Linked DNA regions of Diceros bicornis minor. The protein of the gene in region 2 binds, or shares a complex with, the protein of the main gene of each other region. Links are inferred from orthologs where the notes say so. Each region holds a gene or a part of one and is shown on either strand. Other genes may lie near its edges.

Region 1 (7,231 bases), on a different chromosome or scaffold from region 2:
GCCCTTATAGCGCCTGCTCAATGAATTGGTAAGAATGAAATTGACAATAATGTAAATTTTGATCCTCCTGGGAGTAGCAGGGAAGCAGGAGGCCTCCTTAGAAAAGTGTCTGCTCCTGAGCAGTCCCAAATGTTTGCTCTGGACCCACGCCCAGATCCGGGCCGTAATTTCAAAAAGGACACTTCTAAAGAGCAAGAGGTCTGATTTACTTTGCTCTTCTGTGTCTTGTCCATACCCTAGTTTTCTTACAGCCCACCCAGAAAATAATTGGCAGGGTGTCAGTAAAAACAAACATCTGTTATTTAAAATGTGTTTGAGGTTTCCTTCCTTTTGCTTTAGCGATTTTAAGATGAAGAAAACATTTTTTGGACGGGAAAACTGAACCCAGAAGGCATTCGTGAATTTGATCCCTAAAGACAATTCAGAGAAAATGAGTTGAGGCAACGGATCTGGATCCAGGTTGTCTCTCCTACCTTTCAGCAAACATAAAATTTGCCCACTAAAAACGTGGGCAGCAAAGGAAAAGTTTCAGATGCAATCCAATAGGAAGAAAAAACTCAAAAGACTTCTCTACCCCAACGGAGTATATCCATTTTTCCTTGGAGTTGTCAGGCATCAGCCGGAATTGGCAAACAATAGCCACTGTGAGAACTGCTATTAAAGCCATTGGGTGGGTCAGGTGGTAGTTATTTCGTGAAAGGGCTAGGAAGTGCTGAAAATTGTTAAAAATAAGTAAATTCATTCTTTTTACTTTTGATGTGAGATTCCTAAATTGTTGAGTCCCAGGAAAATGAGAAGCTTAAGAAAGATCCTAAAACTTCAGTCCAGCTCTCCCAGCACTCTGAGTGCTAATTTATACATTATAACCCTGAAAGAATTCCATTGTTCCCTCAACTTTAATAGACTGGACTGTGTCCAAGGCCATACCAAGTGGGTAGTGCTCTAAAAAAGTCACATTTTTGGAACTGTCAGTGGAAAGCAGGGAGGCACCCAGTCTCAGCTCTACTCAGCCCAAGACTTAACATCACTGGGTAGCTGCTTGTGGGGCTGGCCTGAGTCCAGATATGGGAGGAAAAGGCCCATCTGATTGTATGCAGGAAAAGCCAGGGAAGAGCATCACCTAGAAATCAAAATGCTTTATGCCCAGCAGACCCTCAAGAAAATATCAAGAACTGAAATAAGAAACTCCATATGGTAGATCAAGGACCACGATGAAGAAAGTAGCTTCTGGCTATCAAGGAAGGCATATACTATTGAGAAGAGATGATTAAGTAGACACTGGATAAGAACCTGTGGGGGCAGGGCTGATGAAGAAATTTCAAATGAGTTATATGAACTCATTCCTGCCCCAATCCCTGGCACTATCTTTTGCAATTTGCTGAAACACGTTGGAGGCAAAGATCACTGACAGGGTGTTTCCATGAGCCTGGCCTCACCTGAAGTGCAGGATATAAAAATCCGCTTGGTTGAAACACAAGCTGCAGGGGAAAAAAATCTGCAGCAGTGCAAACCTCTTAACGGAAAAGCAACCTCCCAAGTAAAGCTGAGGCAATCCGCCAGCAGGCAGACTGGCTGATAACCCAGCAGCGGTCTCACCAAGGCCCTGCCAGTCTAACTGCTGCCCTCACCCACAGTTCAGTCAAGAAACCTCTCCTTCAGATTGCCGGCCAGCTCTGGTGTGACTCACTTCCTCCTGGAAAATGCCCTCTAAGATGGCACAGTTCCCCTTTTCCTTTAGGGAGCATTCTGTCTGAACCATCTGCAGAGAGAATCTGGAGCCATCAGGGCCACACCCACATGGTCTCACAGCTGAGTCACAGGCCTCCACTAGGAGAATCTGGGAGCCCTTTTTGTGCTAACCACGCCCTGCAGAATGCTTCCAGCTCCCCAAGGGAGGGAAGGGGGGTGTGCTTAATGTATTCCAGAGTCTGGCCTAGGGCTCTTTGTAGCTGGTCCGTAGCTGCTCCGCTTTCCTCACCACCCCCACCCAGCATGGCAGCATCCCGGTTTCAGTTAGGTGGAGACCAGCTGGGGCTGGGGAGCGCCATTCCTTTAGCCAACTCAAGTTGTGACCAGGTACCAACAGCACGTCTCTCTCTGCCTCATTGCACTGGGCCAGATTAATCTAGTTTGGAAGATCCTTCACCAAGCCTCCTCTTCCCCTATCTCTTTATAGTTCCACTAGTTTGATTAAGATAGCAAGAAGGGAACCCTTTCAATAGGGAAATCACTTCGCATAGTGCCCTCTCCCCCACTGCCCCCTAGCAAAACTGCTTTATAAAGAAAACAAATATATCTTCCTCCCTGGGCAGTAAGAACCTTCCTTTCTAGCAGACAAACAACAGGAAGCCCAACCTGAAGCCTGTGGGCGAGGGACTGAGGAGTGTCCCTTAGGAAGGGAATCCGCCAGCTGCCAACCCGCCCAGCCCTCCCCATGCCTGCTCGGGCCGTCCAGCTAGGAGGCTGGGAACATCTGGGCGGAGGTCAGCCTGCAGCCAGAGCCCACAAAGCAACATGCCGGCGAGGACGCGGGAGAGACATGGGGGTTCGGATAACTCGGGAGACTAATCCAAAAGTAGGAAAGTGGGAGTAAAGAAAATTAAACAGGGAGAAGAAAGCAGATCGCGGGGCACCATCGCCCAGGTCCTGCAGGAAAGGACAAGTGTCCCGTCCTCCCGTCCGCGAGGATCTAGGGAGGGGTCGCGCCGGGCCGGACAGGGGCGCTGCTCGCCTCGCCTGGATGTAGCCCAGAGGGCGGAGCAGCGGATACCCCTCAGCCGCCCCCCGCCCAGAACCGCCGGCGCCCGACCACCCCGCGAGGCCCGGCCCGGTGGGCCAGAGCAGCCGATGTTCCCGCCGAGCACCGGGTCCGGGGCTGGAGACAGCCCGGGGTCGGCGAGCAGAACTCACCTTGGCCGGAGACGCAACGCAGACACTCGGCGGCTGGGACGCGCGGCCAGTGAAGAGAGCGCGGCGGGCAGGGCGCTTTAGTACGTGGGGGTGGGGGGAGGCGGGAGGAGCCTGGGCCGGTGTCGGGGCCTCGGCTCACCCCACCCCTTCTCCTCCCTCCTCTTCCTGCCCCCACCCCCCACATGGGCGCAGCGCGCACACCCTGCTCTCTGTGAGGCTGTGCAGAGAGGAGCCTCGCTCCTGGCCTCCCCCCGCCCCCAGTGAGAGCTTTACAGGACGTGTTGTAAACTTCTCTGCCTACTGGAATGCTCTCGTACAGTTCAGGACATCCCTCCGCACCCTCGGCCGTGCCCTTCCTCTCGGGTTTGGTTTTAGAAAGTGAGTGAGTGTGGAAATCAAAGAATCCAGACGTTCTGCGGGTGGGGCTCGCTGGCCCGGAACCAGATGTAAGCGGCTCTTCGGTAACCTACAGGTCTTGGAATTTCTGTTTTCTAGATGACACTGCAGGGAGGGGGCACGTGGAGTGCTAACGACCGCGCGGGCGTCAGGCTGGGTTGTGCTCAGATTAGGCCCTAGGAGGTCGGTACGGAGGGGTTTCGCGGCCTGCGCCCGCGGGTCCGCGGGCATCTGGAATAAGCCGAGGTCCCTGCCCCCGCCTGTCCCGCGGGGTTGGGGCAGAGAGGGTGCAGTTCGGCTTGTCAGCTCGAGGGCGTTACAAACCCTCTGTTGACCAGGGATTTACCACTCTTGTGTATGGCTTCACTTGGTCGATAGTTCAGCTTCAGTTGTGGTTGATACTGTTAAAACGGAAGATTCAAACCCTGCTTCTTTCTGTCCTGTACTTCGCCTGTTTGGTCCTTTAGAAGAAATTTCTGGAAGAAATTTAGAGAATACCTAAGTGTTTCCTAGCGGATGGTATTCCCCTTTCCCTCTTGACATTTATTTTAATTGTGGTTTAGGGTTAAATGCAAAGTACTAGCAGCTGTTGGTGGAAATGGGCCCAGTCCCAAGTCCTGGGTTTTCCTTTGTTCCCAGGGGAGGTCCTCAGAGGAGTGAGTGATCCCGAAGGAATGAGCAGACTCGGGGAATCCTCCAAGTGTCACCATGTGACTACTCTTGGCTCTTGCCAGGAAAACCCAACTTGGATTTCAGCTCTCACTCCCACTGAGTTCCTGCGACCTTGGTGCTGACTGTTCTGGGGGCAGTTCTTCAAACTCTTCCCATATGCTTCCCAAGTTCTTCCCAGGCCCCAGGTTACAGTCAAGAGTGGAGAAAATCCTGGATCCCTTTATTCCCAGGGAAGATGCAACTGGATTTAGAGTGACAACGCCTGAGTTTATATACTCCTGTTTATTTGATTTCATTTGATTCACAAACCTTTAGGAATGCTTAGTGTGTGCTAGGCCCTGGGGATTCAGAGGTTAAAGAATCAGTCTCTTCCCTCAAAGAGCTTCAAGTCTTGTTGGGAGAAAGATAAGTAAACAATTAAAACCCAGCATGCTCAGTGAATGGTAGAGGACACTATCAGACATTATAAGAACGTTGAGGAGGGGCCTGCAAGTCCCCTTGGAGTGGTCACAGAACTATTCCTGGAGGAGGCAACATTTGATAGATGCTTTAAAAATAACAATGACACTCTTGCCTTTTAAATCTGATTGTAAAAAAGCTTACATTCTTATTGTAGAAGGTTTGGAAAATATGGCAATGTATAAAAAAGAAAATACAATTATTTATAAACCCGTGAACCAAAGATGAACACTTTTATGTCTTTCCTTCTAAGTCTTTTCATGCATATATAATATATATTTACATAACTTGGGGACTTGGGGGAAAATTATTAATATTTTTTGAAAATTGAACCAAAAGGGCATTCTTGAATTTGATCCCTAAAGAGAATTCAGAGAAAATGAGTTGAGGCAACAGACCTGGATCCAGGTTGTCTCTCCCACCTTTCAGCAAACATAAAATTTGCCCACTAAAAAAGTGGGCAGCAAAGGAAAAGTTCCAGATGCAATCCAATAGGAAGAAAAAACTCAGAAGCCTTCTCTACCCCAACGGAGTGTATCCATTTTTCCTTGGAGTTGTCAGGCATCAGCCAGAATTGGCAAACAATAGTCATTGTGACAACTGCTATTAAATTAATTGGTGGGTTGGATGGTAGTTATTTAGTGAAAGGGCTAGGAAGTGCTGAAAATTGTTAAAAATAAGTAAATTCATTCTTTTTACTTTTGATGTGAGATTCCTAAGTTGTGATCACACTGATTATAAAATTACGTACAGTATTCTATTTTCATCCTGTAATGCTTTATCTTGACTATTTTCTGTGAAATATTTATCAAGAGCATGAGTGTTCATTCATTTATTCATTATTATTATTTTTTTCATTCAACAGGTAACTATTCAACTACACTGTGGCTTCTCTACTCTCTTCTCCAGCCTGCCAGCCAGACTCTAGGGCTCCCAGGCCCTACTGGCTGCAGCTCCACAAGATGGAAGAGACCTGGGTTTCTGAAACACTGTGCTAAGTGCTGTGGATATAGTGGTGACAATGGTCAGCATGATGGACATTATCCCTGCCCTCTTGTGGCGTTTTATAACTCTGTGTACCGATAGGTCAAGAAAGCTCTAAGTACCTGCCATGCCAATACTCTCTCTCTAGGAGAAGTGGTCCCAGGCAGTTCTTTCTCCAGAAAGTGGTATGCGTTGTAAACCACATGCACATGGTGGAGCCAGCTCTGTTTCCCTAGTGACAACTGATGGGACCAGGGACCAGCATCTGAGTCAGAGCTGACCAAGAAGGAGGTTGGGGTGGCAGAGGGTGAAGGAGAGATGTGTGGAGAGGAGCAGACTGAATGGCCATCAAAGGAATGGGCACAGAGGCCCAAGCCAGTATGGTCCCTGGACTGAAGATGAGGCAATGTTCAAGTTCTCCACCAGGCCTGTGATACACTCAGTGTACAAAAGGCCAGGAGCAGGAGGCATTGTTTTACTAATGAGGCACTATTGGGTATTTTCCCACTTCTCCATGTGGAAACAAAATCGTTACCCAATGGTTCTCAACTTTTTTGGGTTTGTGGCTGTAGCAAAGAGGGCGGATTGTCCACCAGAAATGTGTGTTCTTCCCGTCATAGTGTAGAAGTGTTGCTGGGAAGTGGCTGCTCAGCCAGGGATTGTGATCCTGGCAACTCTTGCACCTAGGTAAGACTCTGACTAGTCACCAACAGAATGGAACTGGAAGTGATGTGTCACTTGCAGGCCAAGGTGGTTAAGAGGTGACTGTTCCACATTCTTTCTCTCCATCTGCTGGACTCTGAGGCTCTAGGAGTGGAAGAGCCACAATTGGAAGGAGCTTGGGTCCCTGAATCACCAAGTGGAGGAAAACCACCAGCTGACCAGGAATGCCCTCATTGGACTAGTTATGTGAGTGAGGAAGAACCCCAGGATTTGGGGGTTTATTTGTTACGGCATAACTCTAACGAATAGAGTGGCATTCTTTTGATGCTAGTATTTCTGGCAGCACATTCAAAAGGATTAAGTTGCATGTATAGTATGTACTGGTAGGTCAATAAAGGTCAATTATACTGATCACACTTCAGCAACGTGTCAGTGTTTGAGTAGGATTTACTGCTCTGATCACTCTCTCTTAGATACTCATGGGGCAAAGTTCTCACAGGTCCTGGCAAGCAAGTTTCTTTGTGTGTATCAAGTCGTGCCCTGCACCACACAGAAACTGTGTGCAGCCTAGCTCAACATTCTGTCTGCCCAGACATGGCGTGAATAACAGTTGTAGCAAAAGGAAACTTTATCTGTCAATTACCAAGCCCTAGTAAGAGTCACAGCAGTACCCCATGGCACTTCTGTTGAGGACCACTGATTTACAGTTGCTTGGTCAATTCTTTTTGCTGGCAATCCAAAAAACAAAACAAAACAACAAACCCTCAAGGGTGGATATACTAGTACATCCTAAATAGGGAAATATAATTTATTAAATGTTCCCTATATTTTTTGAACATTTAGGTTGTTACCAGTTTTTTACTGTCATAAATAATAATTATGTATAAAAGGACTACTTTTGAATAAACATCTTTGCCCACATGTTTATTTCTTAGGGTAGAATCCTCTCAGGGGCTTTTGTTTGTCTGTTTATGTGTATCTTAAAGGACAGGTAGGAATTGGCCATGTTCTTTGGGGGCAGACAGGAGGGAAAAGCACGTGTGAGATCATGGAATTGTGAGGTAGTGCATCTCTTCTAGGAATTGACCCGAGTTCTGCATGGGGTTGTATGCAGTCCCTTAGGGCTTTGGACGGGGATGAGTCTGGA
Region 2 (7,773 bases):
CTGCCGCACCGCTTGTCACGCCATGCTGTGGCGGCATCCCATATAAAGTGGAGGAAGATGGGCACAGATGTCAGCTCGGGGCCAATCTTCCTGGGCAAAAAAGAGGAGGATCAGCGTCGGATGTTAGCTCAGGGCTGATCTTCCTCACAAAAAAAATAAATAAAAAAATAAAGCAGCGCAGTAGAGCCTGGGACTCCTTTTGTGACATGCCCACCCCCAATAGTGGAAAATGCATCAGGAGCCCACAGCACCCCGCATAAGCAAAGATGAGAACAAAGGCCCATGACCGTGTGTTAGTGCCAGATTCTAGCCCAGCGGTACAGGAAGCCCCCAAAATCAATAGCAATTATAGAAGGATATCTACCTTACCAGGAAAACTACTGAAATCAGAAATTAGTCAGGAAACTAATGGCCATCATTGCCGGCATAACGTCAATCAATACAGTACTTTAAAAGCTCAAAGACATAGAATGTTAAATATTGAGACGTCAATCCAAGCCCAAGCTCTGGATCAAAGCCAGTGAGTCAGCAATATTTCCTGGGCATTCACCACAGGCAGGCCACTTGGCACTGCGGGAAATGACAAAATGCAGCGGTTTTTTGGACAAAAATCCAAATCATAAACCCCCAACTAAAAAAATGCACATTGACGGTCACACCTTTCCATTGCAGATGAGAGGGATACTTTTGGAGAAACTCTTGAAGCTTTTAGATAATAGATGGACTTAGAAGAGGCGAGAAAAGTGCTAAGCAGGAATGTCTTAAGACCACTGCCCACAAGGACATCTCTTCGAGTTTGCCTCACCGAAGCTGGCCTCATCTAAAATCTTCCTTCACATTGCCTGAATATTGTATTTTGTGGCTCCCTGATGCCACAGCCTCGAATTCTATAAATTACAGATCTGTTTAGGTTAACAAAGTTTTCTCGTGGTTTTTTTTTTTTTTTTAATTTTTATTTATTTTCCCCCAAAGCACCAGTAGACAGTTGTATGTCGTAGTTGCACAGCCTTCTAGTTGCTGTATGTGGGACGCGGCCTCAGCATGGCCGGACAAGCGGTGTGTCGGTGCGCGCCCGGGATCCGAACCCGGGCCGCCAGCAGCGGAGCGCGTGCACTTAACCGCTAAGCCATGGGGCCGGCCCTCTCCTGGTTTTTTAAATAACACAACTCCTCTGGGTTGCTGACAATTTTAGGACCACCAACCATTCCTAATATTGAGTATTAATGAATACTGATTCAATTTGCTAGTCTCTAGCTGGGTTAAGTACAGTGAGATGGGAAGAAGGAGAAATGCAGCAGAACTGGGTAAGCCTGGACAGCTTTTGTAATATGTCAGAGAAGAGGGTCTCTAAGGAGGCAAGGAAGGCAGAGAAAAGTGGAGAGGGGGGGCAAAGATGTAATTTTCCAATTAAAATAATTTACTCAGGGCCAGTCTTACAACTAAGAAAAGTTTCAGAAAAATATTTCAGCAACTTATTCTTCCAACCCACATATCCTCCCTCACCCTTCCACCTTTCCTCCCCCGCATCACCCCACGCCCAAAATTAGGCATGTACAGTACTTAGATACAGTGCATGTTAAGTAGGGGCTTCTGGGCTAACCTGGGAATGTAAGCGCCTTCTATAACATTGTTTCAGTGGGAAAGTGCTTTCTCCATTCCAAACCACCAAGTTCCAGACAGGCACACTAGTACACTTTTGGACAGAAGCCATCAATCGAGTCAGTCTGAGCTCAGGGGCCCAGCCTTCTGACTCCAGGACCTGATGGTTCTTGGTGAAAAAAAAAAAAAGCAGTGTGCACCCATGAGGCCACTGCTGTTATACACACAGATTCAGGGTACCCATAGCTTTAAAACGGCAAACCTTAACACACACGTAATGACACTCTGGATTTGTATGGCACTTAATGTTTTCAATGTGCTTTACATATTTATTTTTGAATGAACATGTTTTTTGAGATTTTTCAATAATAACCCTATACGAGCGGAGGTATGAATGGGTATCCTTAAACCACTTTCATAGATAAGGAAATTGATACCCGCCTCCTACCTTCTCAACAGCCAGTTGATGGAATCCAGCCCTCCGCACCAGGCGCTGGAACCCACCTCACAGAGCTGCAAGGCGCAGCCCAGGGAGCCACGCCCTTTTGTGCACCCTTGGTCCCTGACTTACTGCCGCATCATCACGAGCAACAGTCAGTGACAACACTCGCCACAGAACCACGGGGGACACTTCCTTCCTGATGCAAAAGTAGTCAAAGTGGGAAACTCTCCAGATACACGGAAATCAAAAGTTGTTCTCCTACAAGACAATCTAGACACAGAAGAATGAGCTGAGGCTTTTTCCGTTTTGTTTTGTTTTATTGGGGTGGGGGGTTGCTTCTAAAAACTCCCACCCCTCATCCTCCCCCTACTGCTTCCCTCCTGCTGGTCGGTACAAGTTCCACAAGTGCACCTTTGTTTCAAGTAAAGTAACTTGGAACAGATGGGGATTACTTTCTAGATGGCCGTAACGCTTTTCTTAAACGTGGAGGGAAATGCCCACGAGGACTGCTCCGCCTGGGACCCGCGGCTCCCAAGGCGGCCACACCCTGCCCTCCTGGCGCGTCTGGAATGTGGGGCCTCCCTGCGCTCCCCTCCCCTGCGCCGTCTCGCTGGGCTTCCTGCGAGCACTTCGGGGGGATGCCCGACCCCCTCCCTCTGCCCCCCCAAGACGGGGCGCAACCGGCCCCCCTCACTCCTGCCCAGACCACCTTGCCACTGCGTCGCCTCCCCGTAGAAACCCTGGTGCCGACCCTCCCTCCAGCCCCCTCCCGCGGACGGCCTCCCGGCTCCGCTCGCCTGAGCTGCTCTTTGCAAGGCCGTCTCCCCTCCTCTCCGCGCCCCGCTAGCCGGCGGCCCCGCGGCCATAGCGGGCGGGCGGGCGGGCCGCGCCCCGCTTACCTGGGCCGGGCGCCGAGAGCTGCAAGCGTCCCAGATGCAGAGCGGAGCCGGCTGGCCTGGGTGGGGCTTTTATAGCCGCCACATCCTCACGGTGCAGGAGAGGCCCGCCCCGCCCCGCCTCCCCCGTGCCCTGCCCGCTCTCACCCGGAGCCAGGGTGACTCACCCTCCCCGGCCCGCCCGCCCGCAGGGGTGGCCTAGCCCTGGAACATTCCCCGAGCCGCGCCACGCGGGAGCGGCCCCCGCGCCCATGGCCCTGCCCTCCTTTAAAGCGCCGCCGAGGCTTCCTCGAGGCCCATTGTCGACCTCGTTTCTTCTTCCCTTCCTCTGTTTCCTTCCTGAGCGCCACGTCGAGTTCTCAGCTCTGGCTTAGGTTAATAAATTAGCAGGACTTTAGTAGACTCTGATCTTAGTTAAGTCAGGTTTTTTTTAGGCGTCAATGCAATGGAAGGAAGACTTGTTCCAAGAAACATAAATCGTGATTCCCCTGAGCTGGGCTGTTGGCATCCATTTCCTCATAACTGTCTGCAAACATATTAGCTTAACCTCTGACCGGCAGTTCCCGGGAGGACCGCGGGGAGGGCGATCCGCCGGGTTCTGCCCTGCAAAGACTGGCCCGCCTCGGCCTCCGAGCGCGCAGGGAGGCCGGGAGCCAGGGTTGGGGTGGGCGGTGGGAGGCCGAAGCCAGGAGCCAAGATCCTACCCCACTCCCGCCCCGGGAGGCGCCCTCTTCCCGAGGGCGCTCTACTCAGCCACTCCACGCGCGCCGCGCCGTGTAGCTCTGCGCGTCCGCGTGGCACGCCGTCCTGGGCTGGGTGGGGCGGGTGGCTTTGAACTTCGAGTTCCAACAAAGAAGTTTCCTCCCTTCCTTCTTTCATAACTGCCGTTTTTCACAGCCTCGCAGCCAGCTCCCTGCTTGGTTTTGCTCAGTTTCTCGATTTTCTTCCCTGCTCTCCTTCCACGAGCCAGGATGGCAACATGTAATAGCAAACATGTTTTTGTGTGTGACTGAGCAAATACAGTATTCAAACCTCAAACTAGCGGGAATGTTTTTCTAAGAATCCGGAAGACCTCTCTCTGTGCCTTTGAATTCCTTCCTTTCACACTCGCCTCATGCAGCTCTTTCTCCTACGTTGCCTGTGTGTTTTAATCCATCTTGAACGTCCATTTTTTAGTTCCCAGTTGAGCGTCATTTCACTCCTGGGAATCAAAAGGAGAGCAAGGCCAAAAAACATTCGTTGCCATGCTCACGGTCACCTAACCAGGTAGCTGCAAAGTCGGAGCCACAAATGGGCACTCGACACTCAGCCCAGAGCTCACTGTCACCCTGTTCTTTCATTGGGAATGATACACGATAGGCCCTATCAGAAGGACAAATAGAGAATAAAGCAACTCTTTTGATACAATTTCTGATTTACATTTATAGCTCTTCAATTTAGGCTGAAAGCCTTACAGGCAGAAATCGTGTTTATGTGCCTACTCCCCTGAACGTTTTGGAACAGAAGGGGAACACAGGTGGACCATAATGGTGGACAGGATTCCACCTCCCCTTCTTCTTCTTGGGGCAGGTTGCACAGCCTCTTATTCCTAACTGTGCTGTGGGAGGCCCTCCACAGACGACAAGATTTACTTAGAAGCATGTGGAATACATAAAAGCCACTAAGTATCCAAAAGAATGTTTTTGCTTATCTTGGGCATCCAGCAAATCCAAACATACAGATCTGTGCAATAGACACAGTTTGCTTCATGCTGCAGAACTTGACACTGATGTTATCATAAAAATGGAGCTGTTAGAAGGCATGGTTTGCTATTTTTAAGGAATGTGGGGCCAATTCTGCCAGTATAAAAGACCTTTTGAATCTCTTAGTGCAAAGATTCTCTTTTTTCTTTCTTTCTTTTTCCCCCATGGCTGGGGAGAATGTTTACTACAGCAGATCTCAGATTACGTCTGCTGTTGTGCGTACTGTCCTCTAAAGCCTCAACTTTATTTTGTTCACACTTTATCTGCTACACCTCAGCACCGCTAATGGTGCCTTGCTAGCAGTGATAGGCACTCGCTAAAAATTATAGAATAATAGAACAGAGTTATTCACCCAGTAATAGAATGTTAGAGCAGACAGAGGCCTTAAGAGACTAACTTGTCTGATCTTGATTTTTATAGATGAAAAAGCTGGAGCCCAATAAAGTCCCCTGCCCAGTTCAGAGATTAAATGATGCACTCAAGTTACTCATTGCAATGTAACAAATTAGTACCAAAACTTAGTGGTTAAAACATAAATAACCATTTATTTGCTCATGATTTTGCAATTTGGATGGGACTCAGTGGGGAGAGCTTGGCTCTGTTCCACATGGTGTTGGATGGGGCAGCTCAGCCGGGGTTGCAGGATGGAAAAGTGGCTTCACTCATTTGTCTGGTGCCTCAGCTGGAGTTGCTAGAATGGCTGAGAGCAGGCTGGGTCTCTCTGTCCCTTGGTGTCTCATCCTCCAGGTCCCCCCTTCTCTCTGCACCAGGGGAGTAATGGCAGCTGGCTTTCCAGAAGCAAAAGCTGAAGCTGCTAGGGCTCTTGGTTTGTAGGCTATACAAAAACAACCAAGAGGCTGGGTTGGCTTCATAGGCTGTAGTTTGCTGATCCTTGCTTTAATCCATTGTCTAATCAGTTTTGGGCTTTGCCCTCTGCCCTCTTGACTCCCCTCTCTGAGGTGTCTTTCTTTTTCCTTAAGAAGGGCCCATATTTGTAGCTGAGTAGCTCTCTCAATCGGCTTCATGCCAGTAAAAAATCTCAAAGGTCCAGAAACTTCTTTTCTTTTGAACTGTTTGTGTGTCCAAGCTGGCAGTTCTTTCATTAATACATTTATCTTTAAAAACTCTGTGGATTTTCTATAAATCTTATTGAGGTTTACTTTATGCTTCAAAACTCATATCCAATACAATTTTCTCAAAAACTTTGTGGGTTTTTTATACATCTTAATGAGGTTTAACTCCATGCTCCAAAATTCACATTCATTATTCTTTCTAAAAACAGACCTTTCTCCCTGTTTTGTGCTTGTCAGGCTGGAACAATGCACTTAAGATTCTTAGAAGCTCTGAGATAGTCTTCAAAGTACCACATTAAATCTTTCTGGAATCTTAAAATAAAAAAGGTCTTGTAGCCACACATGATTTGATCTTTATCCTGAGGCCATTTCTTACTTTACAAATCTTTCACTGGCTAGAATTCTGCTTGAAACCCAAATAGATCTTTCTTTAGTGCATTTTTTTTTCTTATACTTTATCATAAGCAGCTAAAAGAAGACTATTGGCATTTAAAGCAGCCTGCCCGGAAATCTCCTTGGCTAGATTCACAAATTCAATAGGGACATTTTCTGTTATTCATGTTACCACAGGCAACAGTAATGTTCAACATTCTGCCAACACATAACCTAGGTTGCCTTTTCTCTAACCTCCCGTAGCAGTTTCCTCACCACTCTTCCAACCTCCATTAACAGTCTTCTCTCTGGTTGCTGCCTGGCAGTAAAGTCAGTGTCACTTATTTTAGGTTTTTGTTACAGCAACACTCCACATCCAGGTAGTAATTTCTGTTTCAGTTACCTATTACTAGGAAATAAACCACCTCGAAATCTTAGAGGCTTAAAACAACAACCACCATTTATTTGTTCACGATTCTGCAAAGGGCAGAGTTCATTGTGTCAGCTCGATTCCAGTCTGTTTAGCCTTGGCTAGGGAGACCCAAATGAGGCTGGAAGATCCAGCAGGGCCTCTCTCCAGCAAGGTAGTTGCTGGTTTTCCAGAGTGAAAGTGGAAGCTGCAGGCCCAGAACTGGAACAGGGTCGCTTCCACTGTATTCTGTGGGTCAAAGCAAGTCCTATAACCCAGATTCAAGGGAAGGGGAAATAAACTCCACTTCTTCATAAAGGGAGTGACATATGTTTACATGGGTGGGAGGAATTGTTGGCAACCATCTTTGCAGACAACCTACCACAATCCTGAAACTAGTAAGTGGCAGAGCCAAGACGAGAATATATTTTTCTGCCTTTCAATCCATTGCTTTTTCCATTCCACCATACTTCTCACACACCACCACTGCTTCAGTGAGACAAAGGCTAGTCTCAAGTCCTCTACATTATAAGGTTTAGATTCTCACTAACCAGAAAGCTATGATTTCCTTGAACCTTGTTATGTGCAATCAGTATATAATAATGTCTTGTATTTGAAGAGGTGGCCAGAAGAGGAAAAAGAGCTACCTGGAAGATCTAACATCCAAATAATAGGAGTTCTATAAAGAAAGAATAGGCAACATGGAAGAGAGAAAATCATCAAGAAATAACTGACAAAATTTTCTAGAACTGAAGGCCGTGAGCTTTTAGATTGAAAAGCCACAATAAATGGAAAGACAAACAAACCCGAGGCACATTATCATGAAATTTCAGAACACTGGGTGGGGACAAGGAGACATTCCTAAAAGATCCCAGAGAGATAAAAAAAAAGGTCATATATGAAGAGTAAGAAATAACGATGGCATTATATTCAATACTCAGATCTTAGTTTCTAAATACTATTCCCCAGTAAATGAATCAGCTCTCCTGGGAGAAACGGTTGGTTCCAGGGACGGGTAAGCTTCGTTCTAAACAACTGATTGGAACATATCAAAAAGGCACAAAAGCCAATTTGAAGGGGCTCTTACTGGTTAAAATTTGGGATAATTTGAGCATCATATTGAATAATGATGGGAATTGATTATATTACATTGAACAGTCTAAACTGATAGTTTAAAAAAATACACAAAAAGATGGGATAGGGAAAGCTCTTATTCACAGAAGAATACCATCTTATAAAT

The links.
Region 1: the proteins of ANXA2 (region 2) and S100A10 are in contact, whole or in part, in a crystal structure (PDB 4FTG), measured with the Homo sapiens proteins. The link is inferred for Diceros bicornis minor from reciprocal best matches to the Homo sapiens genes ANXA2 and S100A10. Residues at the interface, in NP_001002857.1 of Homo sapiens: Val4, Glu6, Ile7, Leu8, Lys10, Leu11, Ser12, Leu13; in NP_002957.1 of Homo sapiens: Phe39, Gly41, Phe42, Asn45, Gln46, Ala51, Lys54, Ile55, Leu79, Ala82, Cys83, Tyr86, Phe87, Met91.

The regions. Positions count from the first base shown.
Region 1 is NC_080743.1:56,176,744-56,183,974, forward strand, and holds the start of S100A10 (protein S100-A10), read right to left. Parts: upstream 3,010-7,231; 5' UTR 2,911-3,009; intron 1-2,910. UniProt on the Homo sapiens protein: Because S100A10 induces the dimerization of ANXA2/p36, it may function as a regulator of protein phosphorylation in that the ANXA2 monomer is the preferred target (in vitro) of tyrosine-specific kinase.
Region 2 is NC_080744.1:55,241,208-55,248,980, forward strand, and holds the start of ANXA2 (annexin A2), read right to left. Parts: upstream 3,017-7,773; 5' UTR 2,941-3,016; intron 2,312-2,940; exon of another isoform or gene 2,048-2,311; intron 1-2,047. UniProt on the Homo sapiens protein: Calcium-regulated membrane-binding protein whose affinity for calcium is greatly enhanced by anionic phospholipids. It binds two calcium ions with high affinity. May be involved in heat-stress response.